4 linked regions of the Lytechinus pictus genome follow. The protein of the gene in region 3 purifies or fractionates together with the protein of the main gene of each other region. This does not show direct contact. Links are inferred from orthologs where the notes say so. Each region holds a gene or a part of one and is shown on either strand. Other genes may lie near its edges. The genes, in order: small nuclear ribonucleoprotein Sm D3-like, THO complex subunit 1-like, splicing factor 3B subunit 1-like and U5 small nuclear ribonucleoprotein 40 kDa protein-like.

Region 1 (7,911 bases), on a different chromosome or scaffold from region 3:
TTGATTGTGATTTTAGTATCTAAAACTGTTCTTTATCTTTACCTATTAGACGAGTTTGATTTTACATTGTGAAAATTCTGTCCCTAGTCCCTACCTATTTCTGTACATGAATACTATTCATATTCATTATTTTCAGTGATTGTCATTTTCATGTGCCACAAGTAATAATAATAATCTTTTATTTTCCCAGGGTAACCACTTCAGTTAGCTCTACCAGCATAACATAATGATGTTATTATTGCCCTTCTCCAATCTAAATGCTGAGCGCCTAGCAAGAAGGCAGAAGAAGGTCCCATTTTTATAAGTCTTTGGTATGACTCGGCCGAGGATCGAACCCATGACCTCCCGTTCATGAGGCGGACGCTCTACCACTGAGCCACCATGACCGGTTGCAATTGTACATGTACAATTCAGATTGTATCTCAATGATTCCAAATATTTTTTCATGAACAGATAAATATGTTTTCATGTATATTGTTTTCAATAGCATTTCAATATCAACATTAACATATCTGAGTTATGCTGGTGAAAACCGGTCATAGAATTGTTCTCATTGGCCCGTATTCTGAACTCTGGTTTAAATTAAACCTTGGTTTAAAGTTGTGGTTTAAATATGGAGAGCCAATTGGGGCACATATCCTTAACAGTACACATCCAATTTATTAACTCATTCGACACTCAAATTGTTCTTAATTGTCTGTTAATGGTAACTGACAGATTTTTCTTCATTATGAAAGCAAAAGGAAACAAAATAGTAAACATAAGAAATATACAATATAAACAGAAATTTTGGCTCCCAATAATTTTAGCACAGAGTTAGACCGTGGTCTAAGTTAAACCCTACTTCAGAATGCGGGCCATTGGGTTTAGGTAATGCAGTTTTAGCTTATTGTAAGTTCTTGATAATTCTTTGCTCTATACCTTACCACAAACCTATTTTTCCCCTTATCTTTAATGTTAATCATGTTTATGAGAGTGTACTACTCTCTGCAGAGTATAAAACATTATATTACCAGAACTTAAGTCTGGTATTGATCCCCTCAAAGTGACATTAGACTATCATCATGATGCATAGAAAGGATCCACTCACAAATGTGAATCACATTAAATCAATTTTGAAATAATCTGTTGACTTGTATGGTGCATAATTTCATATCTAATTGTGCCTGTTATCTGCTTAATAAATAGAGTAGAATTCACTGAACAAAATGCTGAAAATTTCATCAAAATCGGATAACAAATAATAAAGTTATTGAAGTTTAAAGTTTAGCAATATTTTGTGAAAACAGTCATCACGAATATTCATTAGGTGGGCTGATTATGTCGCATCTCCACTTTCCGTTTTCTTATGTTATTACAGAAAATCAAATTTTTTTCATTATTTCATACTTGTGTGAATAATATGTCTCCCTTATAATGAAATAAGTTGCAGCAATAAATATCTAATGCACTAAATCAGTTGTCAATCCAATTTTTCTAGTTCTTGGAGGAAAAAATTTGAATAAATCTAATTTCATATAATAAAATACAAAAGAACAAGTGGGGATGTGCATAGGCGGGGGGGGGGACTTGTCCCCCCCCCCTAAATTTGAGGTGGGGGACGATCCCCCCCCCTAAATTTTGTATCAATAACTTTTTTTTTTTTTTGTGTGTGTTTGTCAAAAAATTTTGATGGTCCCCCCTAAAATTTGGGTGATAACCTTTTTCTTTTTTTTTGGTCGTCCCCCTCAATTTTTTGGGCTTCCGCCGCCAATAGGGATGTGACATCATCAGCCCACCTAATGAATATTCATGACGACTGTTTTCACAAAATATTGCTTAACTTTAAAATTCAATAACTGTTATTTCAAATAACAAAGTTAGTGTTATCCGATTTTGATGAAATTTTCGGCATCTTGCTCAGTGAATTCTACTCTATTTATTAAGCTATAATTACTTTCAGCCCGGACCATCCCTTTAATAGTCATGAGCACTAGCGTACCTACGGGTACGAGCCACCACCCATGCATGTATCCCTGCCCCCCTGACGAGCTTGAAAGACCTTTTTGCCCCCCCTGACGAAAATCCTGGAAAATCCTAGGTACGCCACTGGTCACGAGTCAGTTATACCTAGTTCTTCCAAGGAGGTTTCAATGAGATGGAGTAACAGCAAATAAAATCCCTTTGAACGAGGATAAAAACCGCCACCAGCAAGTATGTCAGGCATGCACTTTGCTCAACATCTCTTGCCCATTGTGTAGACAAATGATTCTCGCATGACTCCACAGCTATAGGTCATATATAAAGGGATACATGCTATATTGTGATGATAATTACTTTTTCGCTGCATCTTGATCTGGTTATATGTGTAGTACGTATTCGGAGGCGTGCGAAAATAAACTGCAATAAATGACTCAAATTTGCTCGACTGGGCATGCACGGGCACTCATCTGGCATATACAATAATGAATAACAATATTCCACTGACCACATTTGAAATTCTCATTCGCCGCAAACGATCGGAAAAGTGTTAAAATCTGTTTTCAGTAAACGTCAAATTCTTACATTTTTCACTAATTAAAGGTTGATTGATATAAGCTGGGCAAATATATCGGCGTAATAGTGCTTGGTTATTGATATTTTGTAATGAGTTCAAATTTCAGTTTGTTTAATAATATGAAAAATGGAAATTGATACAAATGGATATTCGTAAAATTTCACCCCTCTGATTTCTTCGCTGAAACTGGCGGCTTCGAAGGCGGACTCTCAAAAAGGTTCTTATCGACTGCCATTCTTTCTTTTGTGCTTCTTTAGAAATGAATTACAGCTGCTTGAATAAATTTGTTGCCTGTTGGAACTCATCCATGCAGTCATAGAATCTTCTTGGTTCTTCACACTGTCACAATTCATGCCACAATGGAAACCATGGTCTCAATCGCGGAATAATTGTGACTGTGGCAGATCTTGAGGTCGTGGTAATCATGATTTTAGATCAAAAATTTGGACAGCTCAAAAATTTTCCTGGGTCCCGTAACACCAAGGTTAGCGATTAATCGTACGCTTGATTTTCACGATTTAATCTATACTGTAGTCAATGCAATCAATCGTAGAAAAATTATCTAGGATCATTGCTAAACTTTGTGTTACGGGCCCCTGATCAGCGGCTAAGAAAGGCCAATCTCAAAGGATGCACAACAGAATTGAGACAAGTCAGATAGATCATCAAAGTTGGTAGTGATCTGATCCATGATTGTTAACATAATCTTCATAAATTACATGAAATATTGTGGTATTTTAGTCTATTCTCTATTCCACAGGATGCTGTATGATTATGGCAATTAGATTATTTGATAATAAATTAAATAAAGATGCCTGAACTACTTTCCTGGCTTTAGATATTCTTTGTGCATTATTTTGTTTTATGCAAATAGTGAAGGTTAGGAATCTTATTCAGAATGGGATTTTGAATTTGATGAGACTCGGTGGTTATGACGGACCACCATCCGATCCAACAAATTCTAAAACATGAACCATGAGCAAACTTTGTCATTTTATGGTTTTGTTATATTCTCCTTTTATTCCCCCCCCCCCACATTATTTTTTGAACAATATATCCCCCTAAAAAACAAATTTGGAAAGCCAATTCCCTCCTTCATGCCCATACAGGCAAAGAAAACACCTATAATAACTATAATGCTCTTTCTTCAATTAATGAGGGGCACAAAAACTTTGGAACAAGTGGGCTTGCATGTGGAAACAGAAAAATCATATAATGATATCAAAGAAAGTTTGAGAAAATTGGTCAAAAATAAAGAAAAAGCTATGAGCATTTGAATATTGCAATCACTATAATGCTATGGAGATCCTCCAATTGGCAATGCGACAAAGATGTGTGATGTCACATATGAACTATACTTTAATTCCCTTTGATGGACTATGAAATACCCCCAAATATCTCTTTTTGCTCTTTCTCTTTTAAAATCTGTTTTACTTGCCTTGTCATTATGAGATGTGATAAAAGAGGCAGATTAATATACAAAAGTTTATGGGAAAGTTGTTCACACGTACGTGACGTCACCAGCATTATGTTGATAAATTTTTCCACCTCTAGCTATCATACTGGACATCACACATCTTTCTGGCATTCAAGTTCTACATTACAATAATGATCTAAATTCAAATGCTCTTAACTTTCTTATTGTTTATTCAATTTTCTCAAAGTTTCGTTGATCTGTTTTTGTGATTGTTCTGTTCTTACACAAGCTATCATGTTCCAAATGTTCCGTTTTCCTGTATAATCCATGCATGGATGGGTGAATGAATGTGCAGCCTCCCGGCACAGCCTATTTTATGTACCTGCATGATCTAGCTCTTGTAATTGAAAACAGCTTTCAGTCTTTGATTAATTTGGCTGGCAACTATTGTCATGCAGAAAGAACTATATTATGTTCCCCTGGCTTGGAGCTTTTTAAAATGGATTTAAAAGCTTCCTTTATATATCGAGTTATATTTCTCTTTCGATTTCTCCTTCATTTTTGTCTTCTTATATCGAGGTTTTTTACCTGACTGCTAAATAAGCACGAATGCCTGTGAACAAGCAACCAGGGGACCAACGGCTTAAGGTCCTCTCCGAGGGACCTGGTAATGAGGATAAATGCCTTACCAAAGGGCACTAGCGCACCACTTGGGAATCGAACCCGGGTCACCGGAATCCGAAACCCCCGCTCTACCGACTGAGCTATCGCGCCTCCAATATTTTCATATGATTGTTTTTCTTTCATTTTCCCCTATTTTTCTTTTCCATTTTCTTTTATTTTCTCTTCTTTTTCTTTTAATTTATTTCTCTTTCTCCCTTAATTCTTTTTTTTCTATGTCTTTATTGCTATCTTCTAGTCTCGTGTGAACACGTATACTGACTATCGCGATAGTCAGTATAGCGATAGTCACTATAGCGATAGCCCATCAATTTAGAATTGTGTCTATTATTCATTAGATTAAACATACTTATATGATTCCACTGAATATTGATAAACGACGAACCACACAATGTTAAACATAGTTTGGTTTCATTTTATTTTGGCAGTCATCTCTAAATAAAATAGCCCTTTCTCTGAATAGCTCATAGAGTTGGATAGCTCGACAAGCTCAATCTTTATCAATCTTTATCATGATCAAATTGGCAACTTGGCGGTACGTTTGTTTATTATTGTGTTCTCACTTTCACGGTACGGTCGACAGAAAGCAGAATTATTTACACAATCGCTCAAAATCTACGTAATCGAGGTTTATTTTCATCCAGAAATACTTGAAATCGAAATAAAAGATGTCGATCGGTGTACCTATTAAGGTTTTACACGAGGCAGAGGGACATATCATCACTTGTGAGACGAATACAGGTGAAGTCTACCGTGGAAAGCTCATCGAAGCCGAAGACAACATGAACTGCCAAATGATGCACATAACTGTCACTTATCGCGACGGACGAGTCGCACAGCTTGAGCATGTTTATATCAGGGGAAGCAAAATTAGATTTTTCATCTTGCCTGATATGCTGAAGAATGCTCCCATGTTTAAGAAAGCCGGATCTAAGGGATCTGCAGGACGAGGAAAGTCTGCGATTCTGAGAGCCCAGGGTACGTTTTGCAATGTAAAATCAATTGACATTTTTCTGTATGGTGTAACCGGTCAACCCTACCTCAGCTCAGCCAGGCGAGGCGAGGCCGAGGGTACCGTATGGGCACTATGATGGGGTGTCCAAACTTCGCGCACTTTTCAAAAATATTCATCAGGTTTAAATTTTTTCACAAAATATTCATAAATTATACAAAACCAATTAAAAAAATAGTTACCACATTGACGGCAAGATCGTAAACTATAAAATAATGGACGAAAATGTAAAGTAGGTCAAGGGAATTCGCCAGTATCGCGATCTCAAAATTCTATTCTGATCGGCGAATGCGCGCTGTACTGGAAAACGTTCAGAAAAAGTGTGACCTAACTTCGCGGACCAAAGTTTTTGTGGACATTTAAACAAAAACTCAAGCTCAAAAAGTGAAATATTTATATCAGATTGATGGCAAAATGCTATAGAATTGGTTTGTACCACATTTAACTCACATTTTTGATGATTTCTGCTTGCAAAATGGTGATATCGTGATGCTTGTTGAGAATATCAGATTTCTTCAAAAACGGGCGCTAACGGTGACAAATTTGCCGATCTTTTGCCAATATTTTCATGAATACTGAACTCATCCTAAAGAAACTTACACCAAAGGGTAATTTTAGGTCGCTTTTCACGTTGATGATGTCAGATTTTAAGGATATTGGCTAGTTTTTTAGATAATGACCGTCCGCGAAGTATGGACACGCGCGAAGTTTGGACTCACTGCCATACTAGTATTCGACCTGGCATAATTCAAAGATTTGGCCAAATTCCCCCAAATATTTAGAAATAGGGAATTTATCTTAATTTCATACCTTCTTTGTTATTTCAAGGCCAGGGTAATGACTATGTTAATCTGTTTTCGGTATTTTCTTTATCAATCTGTGACTGTGAGTGTAATTCTGTCGATTGTGCGGAGGATCAAATTATGCGGCGATGACCTTTTGGCAATTTTTTTTTTGCACTGAATTGCACTAGTAAGTAGTATTCAACCTAGTGATGATAGATAGTGAATCTCAAAATGGTTTAAATTGCTAAACTAGATCTATGACGTACAGACTAGATGTAGGCCTAACTGTTAACAGTAGAGCCTAGAGGCATGAGAGGCGCACAGCCAATATGGGAGACTCTCTCCAATAGGGGAGACAATCTCCCACATTGGAGACTTGCTTTGCAAAAGGACAAAAGAAACAACACCAACAAAAGCATGATTTTTTCCACCCAAAATTTTGTCTCACTGAGGTCAGAAGCCCATTTGTTTTGTGTGTGATTGACAACAAAAATCCTTTATCAAAACAAAAGTAGACGGTGAATTTTTAAAGTAGACGGTGAAAAGGGGTAATTTTTCATGAGGAATCTGCTTATCACATTTTTATTTGCCGCCAAGTTAATCCTTTTGCAGCAAATGTAAACAAAGGAAATTGGACTCCAAAACTGGAGACTGTCTCTGAAATTGGATACCCAAATTCTTTACAAAAGTCTCTGATATTGGAGATAATCTCCCACATTGGAGACAGTCTCCAATATTGGCCGTGCGCCTCTACTGGTTAAGTCTCTGGCTTTGACTAATTCCCTGTTTGGTCTCATCTCAAATCCATTACACCTATTCGTCATACAACTTGGCCCTTAAGTAAATTTGATTCTTTAAATTATTTTTTTCTTGATTAAAAATAGAGATAAAAAAATGAAAATTTTCTTGCCATATTACTTTCCACCAAAAGAGGGCGTACACAAAAATATGCCCAAAATTCAAGTTTTTGAGTGCTCTAGTAAATACAAAAATTATTCCCAAGTTACTAATGAAAAATAAATTGCAACTGTATGAAAATTAGTAATTTTGGTCACAAAAGTGATATTTTAATGATTTTTTAAAGTGTGTGCTCTGTACAGCATTGGCATGCCATAGTCCTACCTGTAGATTCCACACAGGCAGGATGGTTGCAGTGAACAAGTGGGCAGATCGAGAAACAGGGCCATCTTTCATCGCTAGGTTGAATACTGGTGCCGACGGATTGAATACTAGTGCCAAAAACCATCGACGTATAATTCGATCGCCCGCGTACACAGTCGACGGGTTGAAGAAAAAAATAATGCAAAAAGAATAACCAACATTTGCTCTTGGAAATAAGGCAGGTCTGAAATTAAGGTAAATTCCATATTTCTATAAATTTGAGGAAATTCTCCAAATGGGTTGAATACTAGTGCCCTTACGGTACTCAGACTGTCTCAGTAGAGGCCCACGGCCAGCGGCGTACCTAGGATTTTTCAAA
Region 2 (7,070 bases), on a different chromosome or scaffold from region 3:
CTCGACTACAACAAAAAAGAAAAGTTATTAAAAAAGCATTAAAAAAAAAATAGGGGTCTAGCATGAAATAAAAAATGAAGAATGAATTTTTTTTCAAACTTATAACAGTTTTCTTTACATATAACAGTAGTACAGCTACAGATAAGAAGATAACCACATAATGAAATATAACAAGAATTAGACTACTATCAAATATTATACTTCATTTTCAATGAATGTGGCCATAAAAAAATTGTTGTCACCTCCAATCCCAAGGCAAACTGACATTTGACAAATTCAAAGAGACTGTTCTCTAATGTATGGTGTCTTTTCTATCATGTAGCTTTGTGAAATAGATTTCAGTCTGCTGAAAATAATTGAGCCGCCTACAGCTAGAGGCATAAAACACTCCTGACAATGACAAGAGCCTGAACAAAAAGGGGGGAACAAAAGTAAAAAGTATCAAAAGACGACAAAAGCTATATAAAAAAAAAGTACAAAGACAGTCATGACTGTAGACCTCTACTAGAACTCTTGGGGGGGGGGGGGGTGTTTCACAAGATTTAGCATGACTTAGACTTAGAGTCGCACTTAAATGCCTAGTTGCGTGCGGTATAAAAGGCATAACCACATTGGTCAGATCATGCAAAGAGGAGGTGCACTACTGCTTATTGATCAATTACTGAATTAGATTGCGCGCGTTTAATTTAGATACGTGTTTGCATTTAAGTAGATCCTACTTGCAATTGTTAAACATCCCCTACATGTACTACTTACTGCTACTGCTTAGTGTGTCATGTGTGCATATTAATGCAGTGTTGGTATGTTACTATGTAGTCACAATGCAGGAGGCTCCTGGAGAGTAAAAATCTTTCTACTAACGTAGGCTTACTCTGCACGGAGCCAGGGATTGCGTCCCATTCATGCGCGTGTACCGCAAAAAAAAATAAAACTTTCGCCCCAGAAATTTCTACTTTCTTTCTAAAAGATCTAGCCCTAAATCATGTAAATGAGATACAACTTCAGTCTTCATTTCCGACATTTCTACGATATTGATTTCATTTTTAAACAAGTATTCATTAAAAATCAAGAAAAATATTATGAAAAGACTGGGAAAACTTGCCACCGATATCGCGATATGCGTGCTGTCATCTTGGCGAATGACAAAGAAAACAAGATGGCCACGTAAACACGGTGGCAAGTTTTCCCCGTCTTTTCATAATATTTTTCTAGTTTTTTTAATGAATTCTTGTTTAAAAATGAAATCAATATCCTACTCGTAGAAATGTCGGAAATGAAGTTGGACTTGTATCTCATTTACAATACATGATTTAGGGCTAGATTTAATCGTGTAGAGTTTTAGAAAGTGCAGATCCCTCCATCTAGGTCATCAGAATACCCATCATCAGTATCATCTAGATGGAGATGTGCTGGAGGAAGTTTCGGAGGAAAGAGACTTGGGAGTCATTATGGACTCTCAACTGAAATTCCATTCCCAAGTAGCCAACGCAGTCTTGAAAGCTAATCGTGTGCTTGCTATGATTCGACACACTTTCTTGCATAGAGACAAAGAAAACATCAAAAGGTTGTACAAGTCACTCGTGAGACCAATTCTTGAATATGCGAATGGAATATGGTACCCAAGATATGCTTCTGACTTGAAGGCTATTGAGAAAGTCCAGCGACGAGCGACCAAGCTAGTACCAGCCCTGAAAGAAATGGACTATGGTAGAAGACTGCGTGAAATGAAATTACCCTCCATCAAGTACAGACTGCGCAGAGGTGACATGATACAAACCTATAAAATAATTCAGGGCATTGATGATGTGAATAGAGACCTATTCTTCACAACAGCTACCACTCAAGCAACGCGTGGCCACCCTTACAAGCTATTTTTGAAAAGGAGTAGACTGGCAGTGAGACAAAACACCTTCAGTGTTAGAGTGGTTAATGACTGGAACTCTTTGCCTACTGAGGTAGTCACAGCATCAACAATCAATGGCTTCAAGACAAAGTTAGACAAGTTCTGGTCTGCGTGGCATTAATTATGTTCACGCATGGGAATAGTGCCTTTTTCATTTCAATACATTGGCACAGCACATTGCACAAATAGCAGACTCAGTTTTTCGAACTTATCCAAGCTAGGAAGACAACAAGATAGACCTGGAAACTTGACTGCAGGAACAACTTTATTTTTCCAGTAGATGCGGTATAAAGGTATAAAGTAAAAAACTCTGCTGCAGTCAATGACGATGTGCAGTCTAGTCTGACTCTGGAGACTGGACTGGGGCGAAGCCAAGCAAAGGCCAAAGCCAGGCCCAAGGTTTAATTTTTTTTGCGGTAGGCCTAGGCCTACGACGTTACGTATTACACGCGCATGAATGGGACCCAATCCCTGCTGCTCCTAAGAGAGTAAGCCTACGTTAGAAAAAGGATTTTTTACTCTCCAGGAGCCTCCTGGCTACACGGATATGGCAATAGCCAACAGACAAGTCGGGAAATTAAAGATTTAAACACAACAAATTTTACAATATATGGGACAGCACACAGTGACACTCGCAGACATGACACTCAGAATTTAACAATGGATTTAACAAGATGAAATAAGCTTAAAATGATACAGAGCCAAACTAAAATTTTGATCCAAATGTACAAGAATCAAAACATGAATGATTTTATAGAATAAATAAATGTTTAGATGGTCAGAAAACATCTTACCAAGTATTTTACCCTCGAGGCTTCAAAATCAAACTGTGACTCGGAGGCCGCCATGATTAATTTTATTAGTTTCAGCTTAGGATTTTTGTATTTAAAATAAACGAAGTAAAACAGAATTAAAGAGACCAAATTACCAAAATAATTACCGCCTTTTCGTTGATTTTAAAGAATAAAAACAATCGTTGTTATGAATGTCAGGAATCGGTGTAAAAGATATGAAAATAGAAAATATCTAGTCCCGAGTCAACGATTATGTAATTAAAAGTCTTTTATTAAGACTATTTTATTCATTTCGCAAATTGTCAACACGCTGACTGTCGCGCACTGGCTGTGCATAGACCATAGTTGTGGAAAGGATTTGATTTTTAACATTCTTCCTTACAAGTATGGATTCCAAACTGGCTGCAAAAGTAAGCGGCAACACATCGAATATCAAGTTCGAGGTAAATTTACGTAAAGAGAGCCCAGTCAGCGCCAGGCTGGGCGCTGCACTGGACCCATGACATGCCATGATCCCTCTGGCATGTCTGGCTCTGGCTCTACCGCCCCAGCCCGGCCCTAGCCCAGGGCCAGGCTAGGGCCTAGCTTGACCCGGGGCGGTAGCGCGGTAGCGCGCGCTGGGTGTCCATTGACAGTGTAGGATAGCGAGAGCCTAACTTAGAAAGAAAGAAAGAAAGAAAGAAAAAAAAGAAAGAAAGAAAAAAAAAGAAAGGAAGGAAGGAAGGAAAGAATCAGCCGCCGTGAATGAGTGAAAGAATGAGTAAATCAGTAACTAATGAATCATGAGACATGAGACATGAGTGAAACGAAAGGTGAACATGAATGAATTAAAAAAAATGTCAATCATGAGACATGAGTGAAACGAAAGGTGAACATGATGAATGAAAAAAAAAATGTCAATATTTTTTATTTTGCGTCCTAGCTTGTAGGTCTAGCTTAAATAGAAATTTTGTCCTTTACGTCATATGTCATCCCCTAAAAAAATTAGACTCAATATTGTATGCCACTGGACCCCCCCCCCCCCCCTCCCGAAAAAAAACCTGCAGCACAGCAGAGAGCAATATTTTTGTTAGTCATCCTTCCAACTAATGCAGGGACTCGGTTTTATAATTATAAGGGGAGCAATAAAAAGCTCTCCTAGAACTTTTAAGGAGAGCGGTAGAGGAGCACTTCAAAAAGCTCTTCTTCAACATACAAGGGGAGCTTTTTGCCCAATTAACAAAATGGATGGAGGAAATGTATGTACTATAAAATTACAATCAACAACCAAAGGAAGTATTTATAATTGTTTTACAATGTATTGTAATTAGATTGTGTGTTGTAAAACCTGTTTTAGTTAGGTTTTGACTTTGGCTAAAAGTTAAGTCAAAACTTTTTTTTTTTTTTTTCGGGGGCTCCATTTTAATTTTTTTGTCAAATTTCGGGGGCTCTTTTTAAATGCTACTTTTTTGTATTTTGAGGAATACCTGTTCACTTATTAAGGAATTATTACTTTTTGTTTAATATTGTATGATTTTTAAAGTTATTTATCATGTTTAGAATCTTGGATGTGGGTGTGTGTGGATGGGTGGGTGTGTGTGGGTGTGTGCGTGTGTGTGTGACTGTGAGTTGGACTTGGATATAAATGAATTCAATATCTAATTTCTACTCCATTTATTCCAGTACAATACCCTAGTCGTACAGTACATGTAATAAAGGCCCATCACATACCCTAACTTTTCCTGAAGTTCTTTGAAAACGCAGATCTCCATGAAAATTTAATTTCTCTATGGGGGAGTCTAAATTTGGTGAGAATGTATTCATTAAGAACTTAAATATACATGACAATGAAGAAATCATCAAACTTTATTGGCAGTTTTGAATAATATTCCTGAAATGTAAACTCTGTCTGAAACAGAAAATCACCATCATTGAGGCCTTTACTGAGCGAATTGTCCCCCAGAGCTCTGGCAGAGAGACAGAGCTCCAACTGGCTAGCTAGTAAAAGCGCCAATGCGTGAGCCTGCCGCCGTCCTTGTAAAAAAGATGGAGCTTTGTTTGATGATTTATTGTCTGATATAATACCTCATCCCCTAGAAAAAGAAAACAAATGATTTTTTAGTTATAATTGATAAATTAGATAACTTATTTTGGAAGTTAATAAGCCGTTATGAAAAGCAAAGCCGAATGACAACTCACCAATGCTAGGTTACTAGACTCTGGGATTTATTTCCTGTGTAATTCGAATTATTTTATCACAGAATTGTGATATCTGTAGGGGAAACATGTGCATTCGAAATGGCACACGGTGGTAGTCATAATGGACCCCTATACATGCAACTCTTTCCCGACCGATGCGTTGATTTTTTTTTCCATACCTGGTACCATGTGTATGGAAATACGTGGTACAGAAAAAATAACGCAACTTCGGAATTTGAAACTGCGCTACTCGCTACTTTTAAGGCTTATTCGTGATTTTGAGTGTGGATTTTGGATGGTTTTTAAATGGTAAGCGGAGCTCGAGCATATGGCACTAGTGGGCCGTTGAGTTGTTATCACTCTGCAATAATTTCGGGGGCGACATTCAGATTTTATGTCGCCCCCGAAAGCATGATTTTGGGTGATTTCGAGGGCGACTTTAGGCATTTTCGCGCAGGTCAGCTATCGCGAGGCGCGCTATTAATCGCGCTACCAAAAATGGATTAAGGCGCGCATGTAGCGCGCGATCGCTCTCGCGCGCCTTAAAATCGAGTCCCTGTAATGATTGAACACCAATTGAGATTTGAGACCTGTGATCTCCCACATGGGAGCCTCTACCTTTGAGTTCTCAACACTAAGTGTCTACCGAGGAGACTACTAGGGCGTGAAACAGGCCCAAAACGAACAACAACAAGCCTCTACTGTTCAGAGTTCCTGTCGAGGAAGGCAACCTTGCCCAGATTTGGGTCATGTCTAAGTTACTTAGCCATAAATTATACCATGCTTCTTCTTCTTCTTTGTTGTTCTTCCCCCGGTATTCGAGGATCAGCGGCTATCCGCAGGTTGGTTGTTGTGTTGAAGCAATTTCTCTAAGCGAATATGATGAATTTTAAGAATGTATCTGAGGCAGTGGGTCATGACATTGGCAGCAAGAGTGACAGATAGGTGCGAGGAGGGTAATAAGATATTAGTGGCAAGGATGAGGGGATGAGCAGAGGTGAAGGCTAATTGGCTAACAAGCAGGGAGGCTTAGAGATGGGACATGTTGAATGAGAACAGACCGTTGGGGTTTGAGAGTTGGGCAGGAAGCAAGGAAGTGGGTGGAGCTTTCTTCCTCCGTTGAGCAAAGTCTACAGGTGGCGCTGGGAGACTTGCCTATGGTCTTCAGTCTTTGTTGTGTTAGGTAGGTGCCTGTCAGAAGTTGGGAGCGAAGTCTTGCAGCAATACGGAGGTGTGAAGGTAGTGCAGGGGGGAATATACTGCTAGGGCTTGGAAACGTTGAACATTGCTTCCAGAAGGCAAGAGTGTGCTTCTCCTGAGTGGCATCAACTAGGCCAGCATTGTGCTTCTTGAAGATGGCCTGGCGGCACAGTCTTTTCCAGGTGAGGTAGTCGAAGCTCAGGGAGCCAGACAGGATGGCAGGCAAGCTGTATTTGGCGATTAGCTGCTTCCAGTAGGAGATGAAAGGGACATCGGCAGCGAGAGCATTTAGAAGTATTCTGTGCTCAAACCTATCGCTTGGTAAAGTAACCAGTTGCCCGAGAGTCATCAAGGTGTTCAGGTCGATCTGCATATAGAGAGAGGGATGATTCCGGTAAGGAGAAAGACTGCCTCGTTTGCTGTGCTTCTGGGGAGCCCTAGGAACTTTTTGAAGAGAAGGGCCTGCGCTGAGTCTAGCTTATCCCTGGACCTCTTGCTAACTCTAATGGCAGCAATGCCATATAGCATCCTAGGAATGCAGTAGGTGGTCCACAACTTGGCAATGGTTGGAGGCCAGAAGTTGTTTCTTGAAGCCGAACCACCTAGCAGAGCGAATATGGAGTTATATCCCTTGGCAATGATGTTCGGCGCAGGATCTTGAGATGTTGAAGATTTGGTGACACCAAGATGGGGATGCTGACTGACTTCTTGAACTTCCTCTTCATTCAGGTACCAAGTGTGCTTGAGGTGGTCTTGCCCATTAAAGACGAGGATTGCACTTTTTGATGGGTTGATCTTGTACTTCCATGTGGTTGCATAGGTATGGATGAGATTCAGCATGCATTGAAGTTCTTTGGCTGAGGAAGCTATGAGGGCCACATCATCAGCTAGAACAATTACCCCAGCATACAGGTTTTGGCAGTGGCATCCAAGATCTTTGTATCTTAGCAGCTTAATCAGGCCATCAATAAAGATGTTGTAGAGAAGAGGGGAGA
Region 3 (7,431 bases):
AAAAAAAATGAGGAAAGAAAGGAAAGTGTATTATATTTTTCTGAATATCACGTTAAAATCTATCTTCATGTTAGATTCTCATGAAAGGTGATTTTTTTATCTCGCTCGCTTCGCTCGCTCGGGACCTATGTTAAGCTACTTCTTGCCAGAAGCGCCATACTCGGCCCCCTCGAGCATGTAGAGCTTCGCCCTGATGCTCACAATCATAACAAAAATCCTGTTCACCGTGGCGTACAAAAAAGAGAGAAAAGGAAAAGAGAGGGTGAAATATGATATCATCTTTTTAACATTATGTAAAAATCTATCACAAAATTGGATTTTTGCAATAAAAATGTCAAAATATTTTTGCTCGCTCGCTTCGCTCGCTCGCTTTTATTTATATGTATATTTGCCCGATACGCCATATCGCCCCCTCAAATTTTTTGCCTTATGACGCCATTGCCTGTTCCATGATATGACCGGGAAATTTTTGGCTCTTGCCCCCCCCCCCCCCTGGCCACCGACCCCTGTTACGCCGCTGAGAATGAGTACCTTACTTAACAATTAATGCGAGTGCAGAACACGAGCCAAAGATCTGTGATATTCCAATCTGAAAACTGGAAATCATAAACATTTTTGTAACCATGAACAGGATTACTAGTATTAATACCATACTAAACAATAATTGATGCGAGTGCGATCCCAAATTTTTGATTTACTAACTTAAAATGTATTATGTTTTACTATAAATTCTATTTAAAAAAGGTATTTCTTTTCAATGTTTTTGAAAATGGGCACATTTCATTTGGAAAAAAGGGAATTTCTCGATTTAGAAAAGGGGCCTTTTTTCCTACATGGAACTTTTCAGGGGGGGGGGCAAGAGATCACAAAGCGCAAGTTGAAAATTTCAGATGCTGACCTGAAAATTAGTCAGTTTTAGGACTCTTGTCAGTTTTCATGTTTTTTTCTGCTTACAACCACTTTAAAATTTCAATTATCATTTTTTGTATCTTCTACTGTTTTTTTTTACCTAAAAAACCGGAATAAAGAATACTACCAAATTAAAGACCAAAGAAAATAATACGAGGAAAATCCTAATGGAATAGAAATCAACCTTGTTATCATTCTTCAGAATTAGCTATAAAAATTGTATGAAAATTGTTGTCAAAATTGCAGTCAGATCTGTCAGAATTCTTCCTGACATCAAATCACTATAATCTTTATCATAATCATTATTACGATAATTATCATCATTATTAGTAATATTGTCATTATCATCATTAGTCAAGATTACAACACATAATTTTTTTTTCATCACTGCTGTTTTCTTTGTAATATAATGTGTTGATGATTCTTGATAATTGTAAAAATATATTGATGGCACTGCTAGTACACTTACTACCGCTGCTGCTACTGCTATTGTTGACTGGTAGAATTGACCATTAGTGTCATTAAATATACAGAAAATTTTAAGCATTTATAATTACTTATATAAAAACAAATAAAAGTACAAATTACAAAATGCCTTGAAAATGCCTTGAAATTTCAAGGCTCAAAATCCTCAAGGCCAAGGTCAAGGCCCTCTCAAGGCTAAGGCTTGAATGTTCAAGGCCGAGGCTTTGAAAAAGTAGGCCTTAAGGCCAAGGCCAAGCATCATGACACTACAACACTGTGTGATAGCAAAAAAAATTTTTTTGCATACGCTGTTAGAAAAACAGAAGATTTTACATAAGAAAAAATAAAAACAGATTTTACAAAAAGAAGTAACCAATAATTGTTAAAACAGGAAAGATTTTATACAATTTTTATAGAATTTTTCAGAACAGGTCTGTTTTAAAAAGGGGGAAAACAGTTTTATTACAATAAATTTGTAAGGTTACATACACCAATATCTATTTTCTGTAATTTTACACAAAATGCATGTAATATTACACAGTGCAGTAACATACAGGTGTTCTCGAGACTCTGCTGCAGGAATTTTTGTTTTTTTTAAGTAGAAATTTTCTAACAGTGTAGACTTCAAAGCCGGATAGTTTAAGCACCATTTAATAATCATGAACAAGATATGGATTTCATTAAACACTATAATGCACGCGCGAAGCGCGAACAAAAATTCTAAATAGTGACCTGAACAAAAAAAATTATAATTCTTCCCCCATTCTTATTATACCCCGCTTCAGAACCCCTGAAGCTTGTGGGATTTCATGGATTTTTCAAACACCCCTCGTCAGCCTGTTCTGTATTTTTACAGCCTTTTCAGGATAGAATATGCTACACTGTAAAAAAAAAAATAAGTCAGGCATTCTTTATTTTCTCCATTAATAGTGCCCGTAAAATAAGAAATGCATTTTGAGACTATTTCTTGTCAACAACTAGTTGAATCTTTATAAAAGTGCTTATACGAGCTTGAATCCGCTTGAATCGGATTGGATGCTCAGATGCATCATAATTATGTTGAAGGGGAGCTCTCATTAGCTAGTCTTAAGATATACGTTTTGAGATAACAATTACCAATATATAGGCTTACAGAGAATAACCTAACCTATACTTAAAGTGATTGTTTAACATTGGTTTGACTTTTAAAAAATCTGAGCTAGAAGGTCACACTTAATTCTCACCTGTGTCTGTGATATGTTACAAAAATGAAGCCCAGAAAAAATTGCGTTCGAAAATAATTATTTAGTGCTACATAAATTTAAATATAAAGTGACCGAAAAAAACCATCTTAATTTCATCCCATACACTTATGTGTACTATTTAGGCGTCTATAAGACGCCTATTTACAAAATCGGGGTTTGCCTTGTAGTTTTAGCTTTTCATTCTCAATAATGGTTGTTTTCAGGGTTTATTAGTTCTAATACATGCACTTGTACACATGTTTCATCTTGGTTTGAGAATTTTTTAAATCGGCTGCTCACAATTAAAGTTTTTATTTTTTATTTTATTTATTTATTTACCACTTGTGGGATGGAACACCCTATCAGCAAGTGCTGTTTTTCGTAGGGGTCCATACACACAACAATAAAAAATGTACAATATACAATCAACCATGGTAATGACAAAAGCACAAACACAAAGTTAAACAATACCTTTAAAGGGAAAATAAACTGCTTTTGAGAGGAACGTACATGTTCTGCTACTTATATAGCATAATCACTGCGGTATTGTGAACGTATATATCGAGTATATTGAATTAGCATTCCGGGATTAGCATATCGTTCAAGTCGGTCTATATTACAAGACTACACTGCTCAGAATGTTGCATTATGGGTTACCTGTTGAGGTTTGAGTAGAGCGAGCTAAGGCTTGAGGTGATCAATTCATTAAGGCTTAGCTGTTACAGTGCTATAGTAGAATTTGATCTACTTTAAAGGTGAATGAAACCTTTGGAGCAAGTAGGCTTGTGTCGAAACAGAAAAATCAAAGAATAAGAACAAAGAAAGTTTGAGAAAAATCTGACAAATAATGAGAAAGTTATTGCAATCACTAATGCTATGGAGAACCTCCCATTGGCAATGCTACAAGGATGTGTGATGTCACGGAACAACTTTCCCTTTGATGGACTATAAAATACCCCCAAAATGTCTCTTTTTTTAATTTTCTTATGGTGATACAAACTCTTTATCCATGATGTATTCTTTAAAAATATGTATTATATGCCCTCCCATAGAAAGAATATATGCTCTACTGATAGATGTGAAAAAAGAGGCAGTTTTAGTGAAATGTATATGGGGAGAGTTGTTCACAAGTGACATCACACATCTTTGTCGCATTGCCAATGTGAGGATATCCATGTCATTAGTGATCGCAATATTCAATGACGCTCATAACTTTCTCATTATTTGTCCGATTTTTCTCAAACTTTTGTTGATCTGTTTCTTTGATTTGTCTGTTTTCACACAAGCTATCTTGTTCCAAATGTTTCATTTTCCTTTAAATACTAGTACACGATAGTCGACCTAAAAAAAACTATGCCCACCTCTCACTTTCTTGTCTCCCCTTCCTCTCCTGGCTTTTCTGAATTTTCTTTTCTTTTCCCTTAATTCTCTTCTCTTCTCTAATTCTCTTCTCTTCTCTCCTCTCCTCTCGATCCTCTTTTCTTCTCTTCCGGCTTCTCTTCTCTTCTCTTCTCTTCTCCTCTCTTCTCTTCTCTTCTCTTCTCTTCTCCCCAGTAAGCGCCCCCACCTCGATCTTAGTCTGCTATGCAGACTCTGAATGGCTGGTGAGGTGGGATCGCGCGCTGCTGCTGGTTTGCGCGAAGCAAGCAAACCAGCCTGAAATGGCGAGCGAAGCGAGCCAGCCACAGTAGACCTAGTCTGCTATGCAGACTCGTTGAATCAGGTGTGGTACACACACTGCAGATGTGGGTCTTCATTTGTAGACTACCTCGATCCTGCCGAGCCCTCAGCTCCGTCACGTCACGAGCAAAGGTCGCACGGCGCGTTCGTAAGCTAGCTTGACGAGCGCGTTCACGCGCGCACGGAAATCGTGTAGGTCCAATTTAGCATCAAACATGGCGGCCGCAGAGTATGCAACGCGTGAAGGTATGACTCTTGAAATGTTTCTTGTTTGGTGCCATGATTCACTCTATTGATACAAATTTGAAAGAAGAATGATCATAGATTTTGAGACCACAATTTTGAATGTTTAAAAATATGTTTTACTTGTCTGTTTATGTTGTATTATCAGTGTTGTTGACGACGAGAGTTGGGTGATTATTTTTTTTATTTTGTCATTTGTGTTGACTGATTCGTGTGGTGTCATATACGGTATGGCCTATGTATGGGTACACACTGGTACATGGCCTGTGTGATATGATGGGGGGGGGGGGGGGAAGCTACGCACTTTGTTTTCAAACGATAAAAACTATGCCAATTTTAATATTTGAACAAATTATATTTCACTAATTTGTGGCAAACATTCTAAAGATCATTAATAAACAAGAATAAAAATTTGCAAAACTCACGTAATACGAAAATCCCGCTGTCAGCCTGTCTGTCATGTCAATCATGTCAATGGCAATGCCAATGGCTGTTTTTTTCAGAATGTAGAAGAGGTCCTAAAGCTAGTGTCTGAAGCCACACTGAAAAGTGTCAGCATAAAACAGGCTGATTTAGGGGAAAATATGGCACATTTTTCGGGGAAGTTCAGGCTACTAGAAAAATGTGATCTGAATTGATTATTATTATTAACTTGTGTTTGGCATGTATGGAAAGAGAAAATTGAGGGGCTTCTTTTGACAGTAAGGACAAGTTTATATGATCATTTTAAATAAGGAATTAGAGATAAATTGCAAAACCTTATTTTTGTGTGTGTTGAGATTGCCATTTCTCCATGCGTTTTCCAGAGCTTCCAAGTCTCCCGGATCCTGCGGGAGAATACTGGATTTCGATCCAATCTCCCGTTCTCCCGACCCCATGCCAAAATCTCCCGGATAATTGTGATTTTTAGCTGTTAAATTGTAAAATTCATACAAACGACTGTTTTACGAGTCTAGCATGTTCAACTCCCTTTAGTTTTACACCCACGTGGAAACTCCTTATCACATTTTCATTTTACCCAGTTACTTTTACCAGTTTTTGTATAATCGTACATTGATTTCCAATGTAAATGAAGATAATTTTACCGAACGACTGGTGAATTAGTCTAACAAGCAATTTTTTTTTCTGGTTCTGCAATGTGCATGTGCATGATGGAAACACTTTAGCGGCACTCCATGCCTATGCCCCCCGACGCGCCCCGGCGCGGCACTGCCTGGTCTCCGGCAGGAGGCTATGCGAAAAGGGAAGTCCGATGTATTTTTCGGAAGCTTGTGTGCGCTTTATTCGAGCTGAAACTGTGGATCAACGATGGGTTACTATTATAATTACACCCTGACTTTTAGGAATAATTTTATTGACAATCCTGAAGAACAGAAGCAAAGTGGAGATTTTTTTTGCCTACTTTTACTTGGGTTGATCGGATTCGAACATTTTCTCTTTCGTGAGTGAGCTAGCCTGGCGCTGGCTGGCTGTGCGTGCTTGCTACAAAAAGGCAATTTTCACAGGAATCCCTCGGCCCTCAGACTTTAAAACAGGCCACATATAAGTCTTTACAGGGCCAGGCAAGCTCATCTTCCACTACTGCAGCCCTTTTCCCCTCTGGACAATAAAGGTATTTTCTTGTTGAACGCATTCTTTTGTGAATCATTTTATGTTCTACTGTATTGCCTGAAATCAGGCTTGAACTTATTTTTTTAGTCAATGACAGACAATTCATCATTTCATGAAATCTCTCTAATGTGCATTTAATCTATGTGCCAAAAGTTTTGATGGTTTAGACAGCTGTCGGATACTATCAAATGTTGTTTCTTAATGAGTTTTGCTACCCAAAACTCCCGTCCGTGGGACATTTCGCCGCGCGCTCCCTCACAAAATCATACCTCCGCGAAATCTTCTGGATTCTATCATCCCAATGTTGGCAGCTCTGGTTTTCTATGGGAAAATGAAATTTCTGTTTTAACTTTGTCGCAATTTTTCATTGTGATCTGGTTTCCAAATCTTTATAAAAATCATACCATCAGATAGAGCATAAAAAATCCTATTGGACTCTTTAAGGACAAGTTTTTGGCATTAATAATAAATTAATAACATCTCGGAAGCTAAAAATTTGGATTTGTGTGTGTCCATTTCTTAACTACACAGTCTATGGCAGAGAAATGCTGAAAATTGACCTAATTTCATTCTTCTTTTTTTGCAGCCAATAATTTGATTTTTTTCAAAAATGTTACATTTCTGTCAGTCTGAAGGTCATTTCTCTTCAAATTCGCAAAGAAAATGTGATATTTTCTTGAAATAAGAAAAATAATTTTTTTCTCCAGACACCCAAGCTACGCACTCGATTTATCATGCAAAAAATATTATTTCCTGTGTCTCAATTTCTAAAACATTATTATAGGATAAAATGACATTAAAGTGAGTATAACTCCAAAATTCCAAACAGTTCTTGGTTTTCTCTGCATTTAGAGATTTACTGCAGCCTCTGTTGAAAAAAAATTGTTCGTCACCCTGCAGTCAGTTCCACACGCAGAGTGCGCATTTGCCAAACTGCATGTGCGATGAGTGGTGTGTAGCTTTAGGACCCCCTACTACCATACTATTGATTGTCAATGTTGATCATTTGGCCATTTTTCATTTTTGAATGTTGATTGTGTCGAGTAGACGCCGCGCCTTGGCCAATGCCAGCCCAGGCTGCCCAGCTGTAAACCAGGGAGCTGCGGCCCAGTTTGCAGGCCGGAGCCCAGGTCCAGGACTCGTCCGTGCATAGTTGGCAGACATATTATGGGGTTGCATGATAAGTTGTAGTTGGGTATGCAAAAAGGGTGGCAGATGAACAATTTTCCACATGGTGCCATTGATAAATTGTTGCTACATCACAGTATCTTGATCAAATTTATTGAGTAAGATCTCATTT
Region 4 (7,591 bases), on a different chromosome or scaffold from region 3:
CTTTTGTAGAAAAAATATATATGGAAACTTTTAAATCATGTTTCATTATTTGGAGACTGGATTTGCTTTTGAAAGGGGAATAGGCCTATCATGAATGTTGACTTTTAAATTAAAATGCAAAAATTATGTTGTTTGATTTTTTCACTCAAGATTGTAAGGAAATACATGAAAACTCAGAGGAAATAATTGTTCATTTCCACATGGGTCTAGTCCTGTATTTTTTATCAATCTTTTTTCCCCCCTATTTTTTAAATTTTCCTTTTTTTGCATGAGGGTTGCAGGTGGGGGGGTTGTGTCTCTAACTGGAAAATGGGGATGGGATTTGTACAAGTTTTTGTGTCACTTTTGTTTCTCTTGTTTTTAGTGTTGTTTGGAGCTTTGATGTCTGTTTTTGTTGTTGTTTAGAGCTTTGATATCTGTTTTTTTTTCAGGTTTTTTTTTTAAAGATATAGACCACTCGTTTCCTTTTCTTTTGTCTTCAACCAATAATTTGGTGCCTTTCAAGTTTATCAATGGAGAGATTGGTAAGTTTGGATTGTGAAGTTCTTTTCCACAAAATCTTGCTAATTTTGTTGTTTTGTTTCATAATAGTATGGAAGTATGTCTACATTTATATGCAGTGATTTCACTTTAGAATCTGAATTTATTCATTTTTCTTTTTAAAAAAAAGGGAGCTCAAACAGGGCCTTCATAATATGTATACAAATCTAAGAAATGCATTGAAAACTGATAAAATATATCAAAGCTTAATTAAATTGTAATCAAATGCCCAGGGTCTCTAAAATCAAAAGCTATTATAGGCCTACATGTATAACAAATTGTTGAAACTATAAAATACATAAGAGAAGGAATTGGTGAAACAATCAAATACATTAGAAAATAGCACACTTGTACATTATTTTTAAACCATACAAAATACAAAATGATAATTTTCATGTCAAAAAAGACCCCATACATATATGTATACAATACTGAAGTTGAAAAAAGGCTTGTAATTTATACCTGAAAAACAAAGAAATACATTAGAAATTACAAAAACTATACTTTAAACAATTTCATTAAGAAAATTAGGAAAGATTTCTTTATGTCCCCTCCACTAATTAAAAAAAATACTTCTCCAAAACCCCCTTCTTTCATTCTCTTTATCTTCTTTTTTTCTTCTTACTTTAGCTTGGAACTTGGATTCGAACCTCTCGCTGCAGAACGAAGCATCTCCAGTCTGTCGCCTTACTCACTGAGCTACATGTACCAGGAATTGTTGAAAGCCATGGGTTTCATAACGGTTATCGTGTGTCGGTTATCAACCGATATTACGACTAGTCTACTCTCCAAGAGTATTGGGTATTTATTTTTCTGACTAAATAAACCGATGACATTGGGAATTACACACACTCGAGATTTTGACGGAATAAAGCCACATTTTGGTATCAGGTATGTATCCAACTTTTCCTTCCTAAATCTCTTAGATATATGTTAGATTGAAATTGAAACTTTATTTACCACAATCTTCATAAAAAACCTACAAATCAAGAAGTATAAATATTTCAATAAAATACATTTTAACACAAGTGAGTATATTTAATTCTTGACAAACCTTCTCCATATTTTTTGTTTAATTTTAGGGAAGTCTTGCCGAAAATTATCTCCCACATGATGCTGTTTCGATGCCAACTAAATTTCATAAATTATCTATCATGATCACCATCATTTGGCAAAAACAATGCATAATTGGAATAATTAATTTGAATTAATTAGAAGAAATTATTGTACACATATTAAGAAAAAAATTACAAAGTGACATGATTACACATCAATTGAGCGTTCTTTCACCTTTCCATTCATACCAAAATTACTCCAAAGGGCCCCAAAACAAAGAAGTTAGAGCCTGTTGAAGACTTGGGTTCAAAAGGTCACAAAAATCGGTTATGTATTACATTGACTTTACATTAAGAATAAGACATCGGCCACACATTTAGATGAATATGCGCAACTTAAACTGAAATAACTTTATAATTCCTTGATGAAAATTAGAGTTCTTGGTATCATTTGAAAGGCCTTTTAAGAGTTTTCAAATGACACCAAATTTATTGATATCACTATCAGATAATTTTTTTATTATTTTTTGTCACATAACTAGGCCTAGTTCAAACTGCATTAGCGCCAAGGAATTTCATGAATTTACCGTCATCTGTTGATTCTTTGCACACGTATGTCAAATTAAGGGAGCATTATTTGTATTCAAGTCACCAAAAAAAGCTAAAAGCTGGGCATAGACAAACATTCAGAAACTCTTCTCTCCAGTCATTTCAGAGTCTACCACATAGGAAGCCATCCCTGTTAACGGTGCGTGCAATTAGTATAAACCGCCTCTTCTCTGAAGTCTATCACGATTTCGTGATTGTAATGTTCGCATGGCACGGAAGCTAAATCGCATAACTGGGAATACAGTCGTATGATAGTCATTGTGAGAATGTCGAGTAGTCTATTCTTGCTTACTAAAGAGTAAAGTTAATTCTTACCGCTTGCATGAGAGCATTTTGTTGATTGCTTGCAGCCACAAGTTCATGATGCTTCGATCTTTTAACTGCAACTAAAGCACCTTCCTCTGCTTTCCGTTTGTGGTCCATCACCGGCATGATTTCGAGATGTGCAAATGTAAACTAAAAAAAAATACGGTGGGCCTTCACTGGATCCATGCACCGTGCAAAGTTAGCTGGCTAGATATCATTGTAAGATGGCGCTATAGTAGTTGGCATTCACAGAGATACGATCTTACGGTGTCACGCGCGTAAAACATTCCCCATAGACTTGTGTGTTAAAATGGCACTTCAGAAAAATTCATAAAAAATAAATGTGAAATTAGAGGGTCGAATGTTTACTACCTTTGGATAGGATATATATCTGACATTCCATATCTGACCAGAGAAGGGTATCGTAGCCAGCTCATTTTAAAAATAAATCGCCATTTATGAAGATAACTATATGATGGGATCAAATTCATCAACTGAAACAGTAAAATAGCCCCAATTCTTCCGCCAGTCAAAAATAATTCCAAATCATTGATATATCTTCCCAATTTGGGCAAAGGAAGCTCAGTAGTTACCATTTCTAGAAACAGTGTTAGATTTTGAATCATATTCATACACTTTTGTCAATCAGCAATATTAAATTGAAAAAATTCGAATGGGTTGGGTCGAACGAATATCTTTAGCCCTCCTAATGTAATTAGGCTCATGGCACCTTTATTATATGACCTATGAATTTTATTTTTTTAAATAGCTACTTTGCTATTCTTTTATATCTGTACACTCACGCTAGCACAAAGAAATGCATTGAAAATGCCTATTTTCTATGCAATGACCCATTTTAATGTGTTACTCATATATGTTATATTCACTATATGGATGTCTACATATCCTACCTGCATATAGCCCAACAGTGAATGCAATGACAATATATAAAGGCCCCTGTTCACCTTGTAATATAAAGGTGTATGTAAATTTTGTGTAGATATCAGGATACCAGAACTGCCCCAATTATATAATTACCAGATATACATAAGATTGAATGAGGAAACAATAAAAGAATGAGAACATATTACTTTAGTACATTTGCATTTGACCTATTACTAGTATATCAAAATCTTCCTAGGGCTATTGCCTATCAGATGTAAGAAGGAAGAGATACATAAATAGATAGAAAGAGAGAGAGAAAGAGAGAGAGGGAGAGAAAGAAAGAAAGATAATTTTATAGATGACATGGCTTATAAAGAGGGGGGGGGGGGCTAGACTAAGATTGGAGCACACAGCCACCCCCCCCCCTCCCTCCTTAGTTGAGCACTATTAGATACCTTACCTTACTCTGTGCCTTTTTCTAAATACCTTCTTGAAGGTACCACTCTAGTTCTCTTCAGTAAAGTTCACAAAGTTCTATCTCCTCTCTACCCCATTCCAAAGAACAATTTTAACATGAGCAATTTGTAAAGTCTTTCTGAAAACAGAGGAAGAAGTTCTAACTGCAATATTTTTACCTAATTTTGGGCCATAATACACTGTTACCATGGCAACGCAATTTCCAACACATGCAAAAAATGTGTATTGCACATCTTTACCCCCAAGACCAAAATATATACATACACACCAACATTCAACCCCCTCCACCGCCACCCTTCGGCTTGTTTAGCATCTGCATTCAGATATTTGGTGCATTGAGATGCGAGGACAAACAGAAAATCTGTTCAAAAGGGGTCTGAATTCAAGAACTAAACCTATGCAAAATAATGCACTGCTATTGAGTTTTGCACTAGCGCTAGTCTATATATCAGACCAATCTAAACTCATAAATTCTGACATTTTCACCCATTTTTTCACTGTTCCTGCAGCCAGATTTTTTGGAGCATACCCCATTTTTACTTCTTATACATAAACAAAGGTCTGGAGAAAAAATCATGCTTTTGTCCATCGTGTCCACATAATTTCGCTAACAGACCAGGGGCGGCATTCTGAGGTCATTTTATCTTTAAAATATTTTATTTTATCTCTTAAAATGAAATTGGTATTCTGAGATGACATTTTATCTCTCAGATAAAATTTAAAATTTTATCTTGCGTATAAATTTTATCTTGCGTATCTATGATGATATGCAAAAGAGCAGTGGCTGCGTAGACATACCCATTGCGTATCTGGCCATTGCAACGCGGATGATGTGCTTGCGCCCAAGTTACTTTGAAGAAAAAATAAAATAAACTTAAAAGAGGGTAGGTGCTATTTTATCTCCGCGACGTTGATTTCGTCAATATTTCTAGGTGAATTAACTCCAAATGTTGGCATGAAAATTAAGAAAAATGATATATTCATTGAGAACAACACCATAAAGTTATTCCTGTACAATCAGGAATCATTTCATAAGACTTTTCTTGACTAATATCGTCTTTGAAATGATGCTTTAATAGATGCGATATAGACTTCGAAAAAAAGATGAGATTATTGCCATTTTTGTTTAAAAAAAAGAAATCTCTGTAAAGACGCGCAAGCGTATTGAAGTCAATAAATTGACGCAATCTCACTCCTTCGCCACACCTCCTAGCGGAATGGATTTCCATTGGTTGAGTGATATGAGAGAGCTATAAAAGCGCGTTTCTGATTGGATATTGATTGAAAAATAGGTGTGTCTTACAGAGATAAAATGAAGATAAAATTGTTCTCAGAATACCAATTCGGAGAGATTTTAAGGGTATTTTATCTCACTGATTTTAACGGAGATAAAATATTTTATTTTATCTGAGATAAAATGGATCTCAGAATACCACCCCTTACTACTATGGTTTTACAAGTAGTGAAAAAAGAGGAATTGAAAAAAAAAAACAGAGAGGAATACAAAGAGAGAAGAAAGAATATCATAAAAAAAGGTATTGGTATTTAATTTTCTGTTACGCTGTACTTCAACTGAGAAAAAGATGGGTCATCTTGTCCCCCCCCCCTTATGGAACAAAAACATGGGGTAGCCCTGGCACACATATTAACAACCACACACAATTCACATTGGATAACATTTTTTTTAATAACAAATCAGACCATTCCAATCAGACAATAACTCCACAATCAATTTCTTTATCAATCAAATCAACAGAACACACAAAATCAGAAGGGCACATACTACTACACATTGTGCTACGAATGCATTTCCAAACACCCCCAAACAAAAAAAAAGAGAAGAAAGAAACACATAAACAGGGTCAAATTTCCTCTTTTAAAATGGGGATGCTTCAATTAAGTGCCATTTATGACATCCAGGGTCTAACTTACAAATTCTGTCTTCATTAACTAGGGTTTTTATGCCACTAAATATTCTTGACCTGTGTGATTACTGCATTAACACCATTTTGGGTATGTTTATGATAAATATAAGGTACCAATTTTAGTTTGTGTCATATGCCATTAAGGGCCCTTTTTGTGTTGGTGCCCATTGGTCGCAAACAATATTTGGTGAGTGACCAAATAACATCCAACTGCAGGAAAGAAAGGGGGAGAAGAAGGGGGGGGGGGGAGAAGAAGGGGGGTGAGAGGGAGGGGGGCAGATGGAGGGTTAGAGGGGGGCAATTGGAGAAAGAGAGAGAAAGAAAAGGAGAGCATGGGTAGAATTGGATCTGAATGAAGGCTAAATATAAAAAATGAATGAATAAGTCAGATAGATAGCATAGCTCATCCTACTATCCAGAGTCATACATCAACAACAAAAAGATGGCAGGCCAAAGTTGCTTGTAATTCTTGTCAGTTGTCATACAATGTGTATTTTTCATAAGTCAAAATGTACATCCTTTATTCCACATGAACAATAAACTCAAAACTTTCTGAACAACAAGTCTTTCATGGAAAGCCATTCACAATTTTGAAAACAATAAAAACAAAATGCATGAATGATTACAAATACCACTGGCGTAAATCCGTGAGTCACACCTATTCTTCGGGGGGGGGGGGGGATGGAACAATAGATCATCCCCCCTGAACAACAGGTGTGACGCAAGGATTTACGCCAGTGACAAATACATTTTGCCGGATACCCCCCCCCCTTTTTTTACAACTTTTACTACCTTACTTTGACATAAGGATTCAAGTGACAGTGACATATGATATCATTGAAATATGTTTTAACATGTGAATTTGTTGCTCTCTTCCTTGATATATACAGTATGCAAAACATTCATGCTAGGAATAAGGATGTATTGTAATACTGATCCACTGATCTTTGCGGAAGTGAGGGCACTTTCACTTGTGATTGAAAAAAAATATCACATTGTCACTTGTTTTTTTTCCATCAAAGCAGGGTAAGAAGTTGTATAAATAAGGCTACTTACATTTCAATTTTTAAAAACATGAATTACAAGAAATGACGATTGTAATTTGGACCATATAAAGTGACAAACAAATGAATAAGAGTAAAATGTGGAACTGAACTGGTTTACACCATGGTGAGGAGCAAAGCTATGTTTACATACAGTTCTATCAGAATCTATTGGAACTACTTCAGAATTGAAATGAGAAAGTATCCCAAATTTCTCTATTTTTCTTGCAAAAAGTTTGAAAGGTTTTGAATTATACAACAAAAACAGTACCGGTAAATAAATTTACGACAGTGTTATAAGGTAACTTTAGGAGAAGACACTTGTGGAATTCCTGTGGGAAAAGACGCAGCTCTGAATGGGAGTCAGTTCACATATTTCTGTTCATCTATACAACACTTTGTACTGAAAATCCATTATCGTTCTTTTTCAACTTACAATTAAGGGCTAGAATGAACATTTTGAGGTTTAACTGCTGTTCAATTTTTCCTTAGTCCAATATATACATTTGCCATGTTTAAATCTGTGATGATGTACTTGAAACAGGGAACAGCTGATGAAAGGTAATGTCAACCAAGTAATGATTGAATATGATTTAAATCATACTCATCAAATCCATTTGATCAATCATTGAAATGAAAAATAAAATGAAATTCTTTCATGATCTTGTGAATAGAAAATACAATTGAATTACATGTGATTTGCCAAAATAAATATTTTGAGCAAATGGGTTGACTACGTCCCTCAAACTCA

Evidence for each region.
Region 1: the proteins of splicing factor 3B subunit 1-like (region 3) and small nuclear ribonucleoprotein Sm D3-like fractionate together in Homo sapiens (co-fractionation; 4 studies listed by BioGRID and IntAct, with this or other methods). This does not show direct contact. The link is inferred for Lytechinus pictus from reciprocal best matches to the Homo sapiens genes SF3B1 and SNRPD3.
Region 2: the proteins of splicing factor 3B subunit 1-like (region 3) and THO complex subunit 1-like purify together in Homo sapiens (co-immunoprecipitation; 4 studies listed by BioGRID and IntAct, with this or other methods). This does not show direct contact. The link is inferred for Lytechinus pictus from reciprocal best matches to the Homo sapiens genes SF3B1 and THOC1.
Region 4: the proteins of splicing factor 3B subunit 1-like (region 3) and U5 small nuclear ribonucleoprotein 40 kDa protein-like purify together in Homo sapiens (co-immunoprecipitation; 3 studies listed by BioGRID and IntAct, with this or other methods). This does not show direct contact. The link is inferred for Lytechinus pictus from reciprocal best matches to the Homo sapiens genes SF3B1 and SNRNP40.

What each region holds. Positions count from the first base shown.
Region 1 is NC_087246.1:7,902,889-7,910,799, forward strand, and holds the start of small nuclear ribonucleoprotein Sm D3-like, read left to right. Parts: upstream 1-4,909; 5' UTR 4,910-5,302; coding exon 5,303-5,612; intron 5,613-7,911. UniProt on the Homo sapiens protein: Plays a role in pre-mRNA splicing as a core component of the spliceosomal U1, U2, U4 and U5 small nuclear ribonucleoproteins (snRNPs), the building blocks of the spliceosome.
Region 2 is NC_087261.1:24,315,189-24,322,258, forward strand, and holds the start of THO complex subunit 1-like, read right to left. Parts: upstream 3,005-7,070; 5' UTR 2,752-3,004; coding exon 2,698-2,751; intron 6-2,697; coding exon 1-5. Other genes in the region: uncharacterized protein LOC129279903, read left to right, coding at 3,084-3,140. UniProt on the Homo sapiens protein: Component of the THO subcomplex of the TREX complex which is thought to couple mRNA transcription, processing and nuclear export, and which specifically associates with spliced mRNA and not with unspliced pre-mRNA.
Region 3 is NC_087257.1:28,175,195-28,182,625, reverse strand, and holds the start of splicing factor 3B subunit 1-like, read left to right. Parts: upstream 1-4,421; 5' UTR 4,422-4,492; coding exon 4,493-4,523; intron 4,524-7,431. UniProt on the Homo sapiens protein: Component of the 17S U2 SnRNP complex of the spliceosome, a large ribonucleoprotein complex that removes introns from transcribed pre-mRNAs.
Region 4 is NC_087245.1:8,205,506-8,213,096, reverse strand, and holds the start of U5 small nuclear ribonucleoprotein 40 kDa protein-like, read right to left. Parts: upstream 3,012-7,591; 5' UTR 2,637-3,011; coding exon 2,520-2,636; intron 1-2,519. UniProt on the Homo sapiens protein: Required for pre-mRNA splicing as component of the activated spliceosome. Component of the U5 small nuclear ribonucleoprotein (snRNP) complex and the U4/U6-U5 tri-snRNP complex, building blocks of the spliceosome.